Oryctolagus cuniculus: one gene and its partners. The protein of the gene in region 1 interacts with the protein of each later gene in a pairwise test. Links are inferred from orthologs where the notes say so. Each region holds a gene or a part of one and is shown on either strand. Other genes may lie near its edges.

Region 1 (3,647 bases):
CTTGATTTGATATTCTAGCTCCATTCATTGCTTTTATAGAAGATATCATCTGTTCTAGAGGAAGGCACACATTTCTCTTTGAATGCAGAATATTTCTTGGAATACAATTTTTGATCCAGTCAGTGTTAACCACTTCAGAGAAATGTGACTTTGCTTTACAGAATGACAAAGGAAGCCAATTTAAATAGGATGTTTAACTCCTCACATTATGTTCCAGCTAAGCACATATCTTCCTGGCTTGAAGCTATTGTATTTCCAAAGAGTAGATCTGTAGGCTCAAGAGATAACAGTATTATGAGGGAAGTTATATGGACATAAAGCAGAAAGAGAACTAAAAGCTGCAAGTCACTTCACTTCCAGCCCCACCGGATAATGTAGGGCCTTCAAACTTGGTTTTCCATTCAAAACACATTTTCCCACTGGAAAAAAGTTATTCTTTTGAAGTAAACTTTGTCCAATTCTTTTTTATCCACTAAGCTTTTATGTGAAACAGTAGCTCACGCCTGTCATCTTGACGAAGCCTGTCTGTATTTCATAAAATATATATTGATGTTCTTGAAGAAATCTGTGACCTGTGAGCCATCATAAGTTTAAAGCAACACTATAAATTGTGATAAGAAAGCTGAATCATGAAAACACATGGGGATTAGTACAATGGTTTATAAACATTTTTGGTCTATGGATACTTTGGCAGATATCTTAAGACCAATTGTATATTTTCATTTGGGCAAGTGGAAATTTCCTCACCACTTCCTAGAGGTACATGTACAAATACACATGCATGTACAAACACATGTTAAATAATTGTTTACATGTTTGAGCAATACCAGTACTGCATTTAAAGGAACACTAAAACACTTTCCTAAAGTATAATTATTAAATAACATGTGATGATGGCTGATGATTATAATTGATAATGTGATATGATATGAAATCATCTTATACCCAAAGACCTTGATTGCTCTACAAGATACATTTACTTTAAAAATACCTTTATAAATGACATTCAGACTTTATGACCCTGTAATTCACAAAACTCCATTGAATTGAATACCAGAGTCAATGGTAAACATTTAAAACAGATGCTTGAAATAACTTGAGGATATTTATCTCACTGTACTGGGAGACAGCCAAATTTACTGATTTGGGGCATCATTTTTTAAAGATTCAGACTAAAATATTAAAGAGAATTATGGAAATTATCCTAAAGTAATTTACTGGACATGGTACGACGTTTCTTTCAATGATGTAAGGACTCAAGAGGAGAACTCTCTAGTATATCAGTGCTGAGCAGTCTAGGCCAAAGTGCTGGCATTTTCCAGGTTATGGGAGCTTGTAACTACATTTAAAATATCATTTTAAATCATCAAAAACTTATTAATTTTTTTGTGTGTGGTAGAAAGATAATGATATGCCAGATTACTTTCTATTTAATTTTTACAACCACAAGTCCTTTAAGGAATGCTAGATAAAATGTTTTTGTTCAAGATGTTCTATGATAAAAATTTTTTCAATCCAAATCAAATATCAAATATTAAAAGAAAAAGATTAGTAAAAACTATTTGATAACATGCCTTTAGAACACTTTCCCATAGATTTTATTTTGTTACCCTAAAAGTTACTTTCTACTAAAAAGCATGTGACCTCAAACCACAAGTGCCTTGAACTCAAACTCCTCAGGGTTCAATTAGAGTTAAATGTATTCTTCAAAACTTCGTTTGTGATCTACTTAGCACAAAAACATTATTGCCTCTACTTTGCACTAAAAGAAACTTGTTCTAAACCCTAGAATTGATCAGTGGCAAAAAACCAAGCTTAGATATTAGACTTCGTCTTAGCCATCTACCACTTCAGAAGGAATATAATCACACGCAAACTATTTTTAATGTTCCAGAGTTTCTTCTTCCTCATTAAACAGTCTTTGGTGTATATACCAAGTTTTATTTTGCTGTGAATATATTTTTCAAGCTTTTAATCTTTTAAACATTGCCTGCTAATCATTTGACCAAACAAATCAAAGGAATCATGAATTCTGCTGTGCCTGCTGTAAGTCATTTGAAGTCAGTAGGGGGTATTTTAAATTGCTTTACTTCATACACACACCACTATGCTTTTCATTTACTTACTCAGGAGAGTATACTATTTTTCCTCTAAGAAAAATAACCTTTAAATTAACTATGTCTAACTTCCATTTGTTGTAAGGTTAAATATCTTTTTGAATAATTTTGTTAAAAGCTTATATCATTGACAGTGACACATTTTAGTTTGTCAACAATAAGTTGACTTAAATTAGATTCTGCATTGTCTGTATCTTGCTAATTTGAATATGAAGATTATTGGAACCAATTCAGAGATAATGTTATTTCAGTCATTGTAAGACATTTACATCAGCATGTTACCGTTTCCACAGACACTTCAAGAGCTCAATAGCCATGGATTTGAGAGATGGCGTAAGTTAAAAAATAGCTGCAAGAGAAGAATTGCCCCATATTTATCCATCTGGTTCTACATAAAAATTTCTCAGCCTTTTAAACTGATTTAGAAAAGACGCCTATTTTGGGGAGAGCCAAAAATCAAATCTGGTAAAACTCCATCATGTCGGTTTAAGGCTTAACATACAACCAGTGCTCATTATGTTGAGTTCTGAAGCCAGGTACACACAACTTCTCACAGCACTCCATTTGTGCTAGATAGGATATTTGAATTGTGTGCCAAAGATGTTTTCCCCCTAGATACTTATTCATTCAATAATGACTTATTAATTGATAATTCATGCAAGGTAACCTTGACACCCAGCATTGTATTAATGTTAAACACACAGGTTGTGGAGTTAGATTGCACAGGTTTGAATGCTGGCTCTTTGAGGCTACAGCAAGTAACAATGACTTTAATCCTAAGTAGTTATTCATCTCTAAAGGGGCAGCCCTAAGCATCAATTGTAAACATAGAATAGAGTGCTTTGAATTGTGGTGGCTCCCATGGTCATTTCCTATTTTATGGTTCTTTGGCAGGTGATAACTTCGGGTGGGATAACTTTTCGTGACCAACTGTGGCATAGAGAGTGTTTTCTGTGTAGTGGCTGCCGGAAAGAGCTCTGTGAAGAAGAGTTTATGTCTAGAGATGATTATCCGTTCTGCTTGGACTGCTACACTCATCTTTATGCCAAAAGATGTGCTGCCTGCACCAAACCCATTACTGGTAAGTTCTTCAGTCCAGTATGGTCCTAACACAAGACCGCTATGATTTTGTAAAATACTCTCCGGTTGATTTAAGAAATCCAAGTGGAAAAAAGAGGAATCTTTGGTTTACATTTCCTTTTGAGGTAAATACAAATGACTACCCATCTATAAATGTAAATATTTCATAAACTTCTCAGGGAAAGGGTAGCTATATTCTGTGAAGAATTAAATATTAAACCTAATGGTACAGAATCTATAAAGTTGATAGTTTAAGAAAAGAGCACAAAATGAGTTCAGATCAGAGAAAACCTTAACAAGAAAGCCTAATCTAAGCCTTATTTAAAGATTTGGGTGGAAGCTGGTGTTTAGCACACTAGCCACTTGGGATACTTGCATCTCAACCTGGAGTGCCTGTCTTTCCTTCTGATTCCGGCTTCCTGTTAATGCATACCCTTGGAGGCAGCAAGT
Region 2 (3,747 bases), on another chromosome or scaffold:
CTTCCATTTGCTGCTTCACTCCCAAGATGGCCCCATGGGCTAGAGCTGTGTCAATCTGAAGCCATGCAGGGACCCAAGGACTTGGGCCATCTTCTACTGCTTTCCCAGGCCACAGCAGAGAGCCTGATCGGAAGTGCAGAAGCCGGAACTGGAACTGACGTCCATATGAGATGCCAACACTGCAGGTGGCGGCCTTACCCGTTATGCCACAGTGCCAGCCCAAAATTTTATTAAGTCAAGTAACCTACCTGAATCTATACAGCTTTTTTAAGTGCCCACAGTTCGGAGACCAACCCAGATGGCTATGAAATCTGTATCTTTTCCACTATATAACACTCAAATTTATCTAGGATTATATAAGTATTTGTATTACGGTCTAAACAATAAAGGGCAGAGAAAATGGTTTGCTTGTTTTTCTCTTTTCTGTGCGTGCCTAACACACCAGTGGCATTGAGTAAACCTATTTAAGTGATCAAATAAAATCGGAGAACCTATAAGACTTCCAGAAAATTTCAGGCCCGACTCAGGCCACCAGCTCCTCATAGAGACCCGGGATTGGGGAGCCCAGGGTCGTGGTTTGGCAAGTGTCCTGTGCTGCCATCTACCGGCGTGTGCGAGGCGTCGCCCTGAACTGCGGCACTTCCCCGTGGGCAGATGCGCGAGGACTCAAGCGCGAACTAAATTGCAGATCCTGTGTAACTGTCGCATAGTTCCCTCGACACCAGTACAGGGCAAAGGCCTCGCTTTTCGCCGGTGATTGCAGACTTCTCTTAACCTCACAGCAACCCTCACACTGGTAAAATTCGCAGACCTCCTTGCTGACCCAGTCCCACAGGCACGGAACTGAATCCTACTGCCCATCCCAGAGCACTGACCCTCCTGCCCAGCGTGGGCTCCAAAACCACCCAAACCCACGGCCCGGCCTCCACCATTTTCACAGACCCTTGAGACTCCTTGCACTATCTTGCAGCCCCACAGACCTGTCCCTTTCGGGCAAAGGCACTTGCTAACCTAGACGTCCCAACAGAGAGGCTCGGATTCCTCAGGCGGCTCATCCCAGCGCCGAAGCCTCGAGAAGGTACGCCGGGCGAGCTGGCTCCCCACCCCAGCCCTGGGCCGGCCAGCTCCGGCTCCCAGCCCGGCGGCCGAGGCCCCGCCCCCCAGACCTGTCATCACAGAAGCCGCACGTGGCCGGGGTGGGACCTCAGGCGACCTGCAGCCATCACTTTGTCTCCTCCGTCATCCATTGGGGCCGCCGCCGCCAATCAGAGCCAGCGGATCCGGGCTGGAGCGCGGGCGCCCGGGTGAAGCGAGCGGGAGAAGGAGCGGGGGGCGGGGGGAGGAAGTACTCTGAGAGGGGAGGGGGCTCGCGGTGGAAAAGGGCCTGGCGGGGGTTCTGCCGGGCAGGAGTCGGAGGGGGCGGGTCCCAGAGAGAGGCGGGGCTATCGCGAGGGGGCGGGACCCGGGGCGGGGCCTGGGAAAGCGGAGGATCCTGGGGAAATGCAAAGACGGCGAGCAGAGGGGCGGGGCCTGGGCTACAGAGGCGGAGCCAGAGGAATTAAAGACGCGGGGAAAGGGGACCAGCTGGGGGAAGGTGGGAGGTGGGACAAGGGAGGGGGTGGGCCGGGGCGCTGTGGGGGCGGGGCTCGCGCCGAAGGGGCGAGGTCTGCGGGCCGAGACTGCAGCTAGGACTGCTCCGTAACTGCCCCAATCCTCAAGTGCAACGGGACCCTCGGAAGTACAGGTGTGGGGCAGGGTGCGCGTGGAGGAAGGGCCAAGGACCGGGGTGCGCTGGGGCAGACGTGAGGAAGAAGGGACACCATTAGGGATGGGAGAATCCGGAGACTGCCGAGGGGGGGGTAGGTTGAAGGGGGAGCCGGAGTTGAGGGAGCAGTTGAGGGCTTCAATGTGTGGGCAAGGAGGTGCATTCTCCGTGGGCCCTTATGGGGGCAGGGCGGGAGTGCTTTGTGGGGATGGGAGGTACAATGTTAGGGGGCGGGGTTGCTGTGCGAGGGGGAGGGGATTTGGAGGCGCTCTGGGGGAAAGGAGCTGCGCGATGGAGAAGGGCTGGTGGTCCCGAGTGTGGGAGGGTCGGAGGCCTGGGGGGGGGAGGCCCCGGGTGAAGGGGGGAGCCCCCACTACTTTGAGAAAGTAACAGTCTAGGTCAGCGCAGGGACTCCAGGAAGACATTTGTGTTTTGTGTTCCAGGAGTGAGGCTGATGCAATTAGTGGGGTGAATTTGCCTGTCTGAAGTGTTCCTGTCCGCTGGGCTCCTAACTCAGTCTTCTGGCTTGGGCACTCCGAGAAGGAGCCAGGCCCTACTTGCCACCAGGGCTCGTGTGATTGCCCCCTAGCAAATGTAGGATCCGTCTAGCTGAGACCAGGGTTTCTTCCCCAGCTGGTGTCCCTAGGGACCCTTCACCCACTGGGTTCCTGTCAACCCCCCACCCTAGTTCCTGTTCCTCCCAGAAGCCTGTCTTGGTCTCTGTCTGCCCCCTCCCCCTCTTTGCCCTGCCCTTACGCTCTGGGTGTGCTCATTTCCCACTTCCTTCCTCGCCCTGGGGCCTGGCCTGGTCCTTGCCAGTCTAGGAGCCCTAGGCACCGTGCCCTGCCCCAGACTTTGTACTCCACGACCAGAGACCCTGGTAACCAGCAGGAAGGCTCACTCCCCACTTCTCCCAGCCCCCAGGGCCTCTCCCAGCAAACCCCCAAGTGATGGGTAGCCACAGACTCATTTCCCCTCCCCTGGGTGGGGAATCCTAGGACCCCCAAAACTCTAGGTTTCTCTGGGAGGGGGAGTGGTGGGGCATAGAGAGGGGCTTTGATGTGTTTTCAGAGGTGAGCCACTATTGTGAGCTGAACCCTGGGGAGGCTTGTGAGGGAGGGAGAGGTAGTGGCTCCCCCTCGTTCTGGGCTGGGAAGCTGCCTGTCAGAAGGGGGTGGGGGAGACTTAGCCCTCTTGGGGGCGCCTCTGGTTCCCAGAGGGCACTTGGTGTTGTGCCAGGGTTCTTTTCCCTAGGAGAGGGTGGGAAAGGCTGGGTTTCCACACCGCTGCTGAATGAGTGTGACATTGTTCTTGCCGTAAGGGGCCCCAAGCCAGCCTCCTCGCACAGCCGCTAGGTCGGTGGCTGACTGGCCAGGGAGGGGGGGGGTGAGGCCAGACAAAGCCCTGGGGTAGGGTGGGGTAAAAGAGGGCAGGCTGAAGCCTTTTGAGGAGGAGCTGATTGCTATGGCAACACCGCTTCCCAGACAGTTTCTCAGAGAGGGCGGGCCTAGGGCAGGCTCTCTCTGGCTTCCTCGGACTTGGGGCGTTTTGTGTGGGTGGGTGGGGCGTGAGGAGGAAGGGCACCGCTGGCCGTGCTGGGGCTGGAGTGCGTAGCCTTTCTCTTCGAGCAGTGGAGCAATGAGACGCTTCGTCCCACTCTGGAAAGGATGTGCGTGAACAGCAGCCATTCGACCCACGAGGCCCTCCGCCAAAGCCCCTCATTCTGCAGATTCGGAAATGTATGAGCCAGGAGACTGTGTTCCCCCAGTCACAGTGAAAGAGCAGGAGTTGGGATCCAGGTTTCAGACTGCTCTTTGCTAGCCCCAGGCCCACGGCTTTCTTCACCGACGTTTATTGAGCAACTATCATGTGCCAGGCACTGATGTTAACTGTGGGAATATGAGCATGAACAAAACAGATAAAGCTGATGCTCTCATTGGAGCTTTCTGATAGGGGAGAGAGGAACTGTGTTTACCGGTGTG
Region 3 (3,747 bases), on another chromosome or scaffold:
TTTAGGTCTGCTTTTTATTTTTTAAAACTTCACTGAGATAACTTTGAAGGGAGTTTATCTTATAAACTTTTACTCTCAAGTAAAATACTGAAATCACATTAGCACCACTCTTAAAGTTTCCCAGAGCCTTGCCATGTAGTTGGCCTGGCTGTACTACCGTTGAGAGAACACGCCCCAGGGCTGAGCTGTGGCCTAGCGGGTACAGCTGCCGCCTACAGCGCCGGCACCCATGTGCGCACCAGTTGGAGAGAACGTGCCCGATGATGCTCCCCAGCTGGGGAGAGGGGAGGGGTTTCAGAAACCTTCACAGGAGGGGGCTTCAGGACCAGGCCTGCAGCAGTGGGTCAGCCCACGTCTACACTGGGCAGACACCGGTTCGAGTTCCAGCTGAATCCCTTCCAATCCAGCTCCCCTGACCCCAGTGCTTGGGCCCCTGCACCCACGTGGGACCCAGATGAAGCTCCTGGCTCCCGGTGTGGTCACCTGGGGCCCCGCAAATGGAAGATCTCTCTCTTTAATTCTTTCACATAAATAAATAAATCTAAAAAAAAAAAAAAAAAAAAGAGCTTCTAAAGCTCTCTTAGAGGCAAACACCTCTACTCTCCAATGAGACAGTTATTTAAGCAAAACTCCCGAATAACTCATAGCTTGTACAGTTCCTCTGCTTACAAAAGCAGTTTCACATACGTCTCGCAGACGCGCCCAGGAAAGCCGGCCGTGGGCTCACCTTTCCCTGTGAATGCTACAGCTGAATTACGCCGTAAGACTTATTGTCATGAGGACAGGAACGCGAGCCTTGGGTTTTCCTGTTTGCTTTCTCAGGCGTCAGAGATGCCGTGAGCTCATCTACTGCGGTTTCCACTTTCAATCCCTCCCGTGTCCTCCACAAGGAATCACGAAACGTTCGTCTCTACGCGCGTAAGGACCACGTGTGTTCTCGGAGATGCGCTTTTGCACCGCTGATTTGTGACTCACAAAGCTGCCTCTTACAAGCGGAACCCATCAGTTCAGGGCGCTTCACCGAGTCAGGCATCCCAGGCTTCTCCTTAGGGACGAATGCGGGCCGCGGCCCGGGACAGCAAGGGCTCCGAACCCGCAGCTCCTCGGGGCGGCGCCGGGACACTGGCGAGCTGGCCGCGCGTCCGTGCAGGACCCCGCCCCGGTGCTCACCGCGGGACGCGCTCCGTGCTGTCCACCAAGCGGCCGCAGTGGCCCCGAGCGCAGGCCACTTGGTCCCCACAGAGGAGCCGGAGCAGGTTCAGTCCATCAGCGGGGAACCCGCGCTCACTTTCGGGGCAACACGAAAAACGGACAGAGAAGCGCCCGTGTCGGCGGCCCACGCGTCCATGCGCCCGGCTCCGAGCCACTCCCGGGCCGCCAGGGGCTTCACGCACCGCTGTGCCACGCGCGTTCCTTCCTCTAGGGGAAAAGCAGCTCGCTCCCCCGGAGGATGGAGCCGGGGGTGCAGGCGCGTCCGACCCCCGCCCCGGCGGACCTCAAGTCCGATCCCGTCTCCGCGGACCCTGCGTCCGATCCCCACCTCTCCGGACCCCGCGTCCGACCCTCGCCCGGCGGACCCCAAGTCCGATCCCGCCACTGCGGACCCCTCGTCCGACCCCCGCCCTGGTGGACCCCGCTTCCGATCCCGCCTCTGCGGACCCCTCGTCTAACCCTTGCCCGGCGGACCCCGCGTCCGACCCCGCCTCTGCGGACCCCGCGTCCGATCCCGCCCCGGCGGACCCCAAGTCCGATCCCGTCTCCGCGGACCCTGCGTCCGACCCCCACCTCTCCGGACCCCGCGTCCGACCCCCACTTCTCCGGACCCCGCATCCGACCCTCGCCCGGCGTACCCCAAGTCCGATCCCGCCTCCACGGACCCCTCCTCCGACCCCCGCCCCCGAGGACCCCGCGTCCGACCCCCGCCCCGGTGGACCCCGCGTCCGATCCCGCCCCGGCGGACCTCAAGTCCGACCCCGCCTCTGCGGACCCCGCGTCCGACCCCGCCCCGGCGGACCCCAAGTCCGACCCCCGCCCCGGCGGACCTCAAGTCCGACCCCGCCTCTGCGGACCCCGCGTCCGACCCCGCCCCGGCGGACCCCGCGTCCGACCCCCGGCCCCGGCGGACCCCAAGTCCGACCCCCGGCCCCGGCGGACCCCAAGTCCGACCCCGCCTCCGCGGACCCCGCGTCCGACCCCTGCCCCGGCGGACCTCAAGTCCGATCCCGCCTCCGCGGACCCCAAGTCCGACCCCCACCTCCGCGGACCCCAACTCCGACCCTCGCCGGGCGGCCCGGCGCGACCGGCGGCGGCTGTGGGGACGGAGCCGCCCCGCCGGGGTCCCCTCCGAGCCGCGGGCGTCTCCCGCCGGCCGCGACCGCCTCAGCGCCGCGGCGGTTGGGCGTGGGCGGCGGGGTCCGCGCGGCTCCGAGGGGACCCCCGGGGGGCCTCGGCCGGGCGCCCTGACCCCGGCCCGCCCCGCCTCCGCCTCCGCCCCCTGCGCCGCGGCGCCGGCTCTGGGTCTCGGGCCCGCCCGGCGCGCCACTTACCCGCCGCGACGGCGTTTACGTAGCGGACTCGTCACTGGCTGCGGACGCGAGGCGCCCCCACGTCAGCGCCGAGGCGGCCGCCGCCGCCTCCCCTCCGACACCAACCACAAGTAGCGCCGCGGCCGGCGGCACCGCGCCCCCTCCCCCACTCCGCGACCGCCGCCCGGGGGACGCCCGGCCGAGACCCAGCCTCGAACTCCGCCCCCTGCCGGTCGCCAGCGGGAGTGCGGCGGGACAATCCAACAATTCAATGGAACCCGGGGCCGGGCGGGGCCACGGGGAGAGGGGCGGGGCCAGCGGGGAGGGGCGGGGCCAGCGGGGGAGGGGAGGGGCCGGAAGCGGATGCGCCGCGCGTGCGCCGGAAGCCCGCTGCGTGCAGCCCGCGGGCTGGTGGCCGGCCGAGCCGCTGGACCGAGCCCGTGCTTGGGGCGAGCCCCGCGGGCGCGGCCTGCGGACCTGGGGGCTGTCGGGCGGTCCGGCTTGTTCCCAGCTCCCTCAGCTCGCCCAGGCCGCCGGTCAGTGCGCGGGCACCCACGAGGGCGGGGAGTGGAGCTGCCCTGCCCCGGGAACGCGGCGGTCCGAGGGCCGAGCGACCGCCTTCCGGCAGGGGACTCGAAGAGGCGCGCCGTCCACGGCGAACGGAGCCCCGCGGGGCACGCACGAGGGCCCGCGGGCGAGGACGCGTGGGGAGTCGCGCGGGTGGAGGCCCTGCCGGGGGTGGGCAACGCGGGGCGCTCGGTGGGTTTCCGCCAGCCCCGAGGCCGCGAGTGGCGGGGTCCTGACCTGGCGGTAAGCAGAGGTGAGAGAAAGGGACCTGCTGTGACACCGGCATCCCCTATGGGAGCAGGTTCGAGTCCCGCTGCGCCACTTCCGATCCAGCCCCCTGCTGATGGCCTGGGAAGGCAGAGGAAGGTGGCCCACGTGCTTGGGCCCTGCACCTGCGTGGGAGACCCGGATGGAGTCCCTGGTTCCTGGCTTCGGCCTGGCCCAGCTCTGGCCGTTACAGCCATCTAGGGAGTGAGCCAGCAGGTGGAAGATCCCTCTGTCTCTCCCTCTTTTCTGTGACTCTGATTTTTAAATAAATTAATCTTGGGGGGGGGGGGAAGATGAGCAAAAAAAATGAGTCGTGTGTGTGGTTTAGAGACTGACACAGGATATTTATCCCTACGTGATCAGTATTTTAGCTCAGAAAAGGGAGTCG

The links.
Region 2: the proteins of FHL5 (region 1) and ATOSB interact in binary tests that used the Homo sapiens proteins (3 or more experiments, as listed by UniProt). The two-hybrid records come from large-scale screens. The link is inferred for Oryctolagus cuniculus from reciprocal best matches to the Homo sapiens genes FHL5 and ATOSB.
Region 3: the proteins of FHL5 (region 1) and CREM interact in a two-hybrid assay, tested with the Homo sapiens proteins (2 studies listed by BioGRID). The link is inferred for Oryctolagus cuniculus from reciprocal best matches to the Homo sapiens genes FHL5 and CREM.

The regions. Positions count from the first base shown.
Region 1 is NC_091436.1:75,505,671-75,509,317, reverse strand, and holds part of FHL5 (four and a half LIM domains protein 5), read left to right. Parts: intron 1-3,011; coding exon 3,012-3,198; intron 3,199-3,647. UniProt on the Homo sapiens protein: May be involved in the regulation of spermatogenesis. Stimulates CREM transcriptional activity in a phosphorylation-independent manner.
Region 2 is NC_091432.1:198,079,074-198,082,820, reverse strand, and holds the start of ATOSB (atos homolog protein B), read left to right. Parts: upstream 1-1,198; 5' UTR 1,199-1,304; intron 1,305-1,630; exon of another isoform or gene 1,631-1,744; intron 1,745-3,747. UniProt on the Homo sapiens protein: Transcription regulator that may syncronize transcriptional and translational programs.
Region 3 is NC_091444.1:107,394,241-107,397,987, forward strand, and holds the start of CREM (cAMP-responsive element modulator), read right to left. Parts: upstream 2,686-3,747; 5' UTR 2,570-2,685; coding exon of another isoform or gene 1,451-2,569; intron 1-1,450. Other genes in the region: uncharacterized protein, read left to right, coding at 1,451-2,569.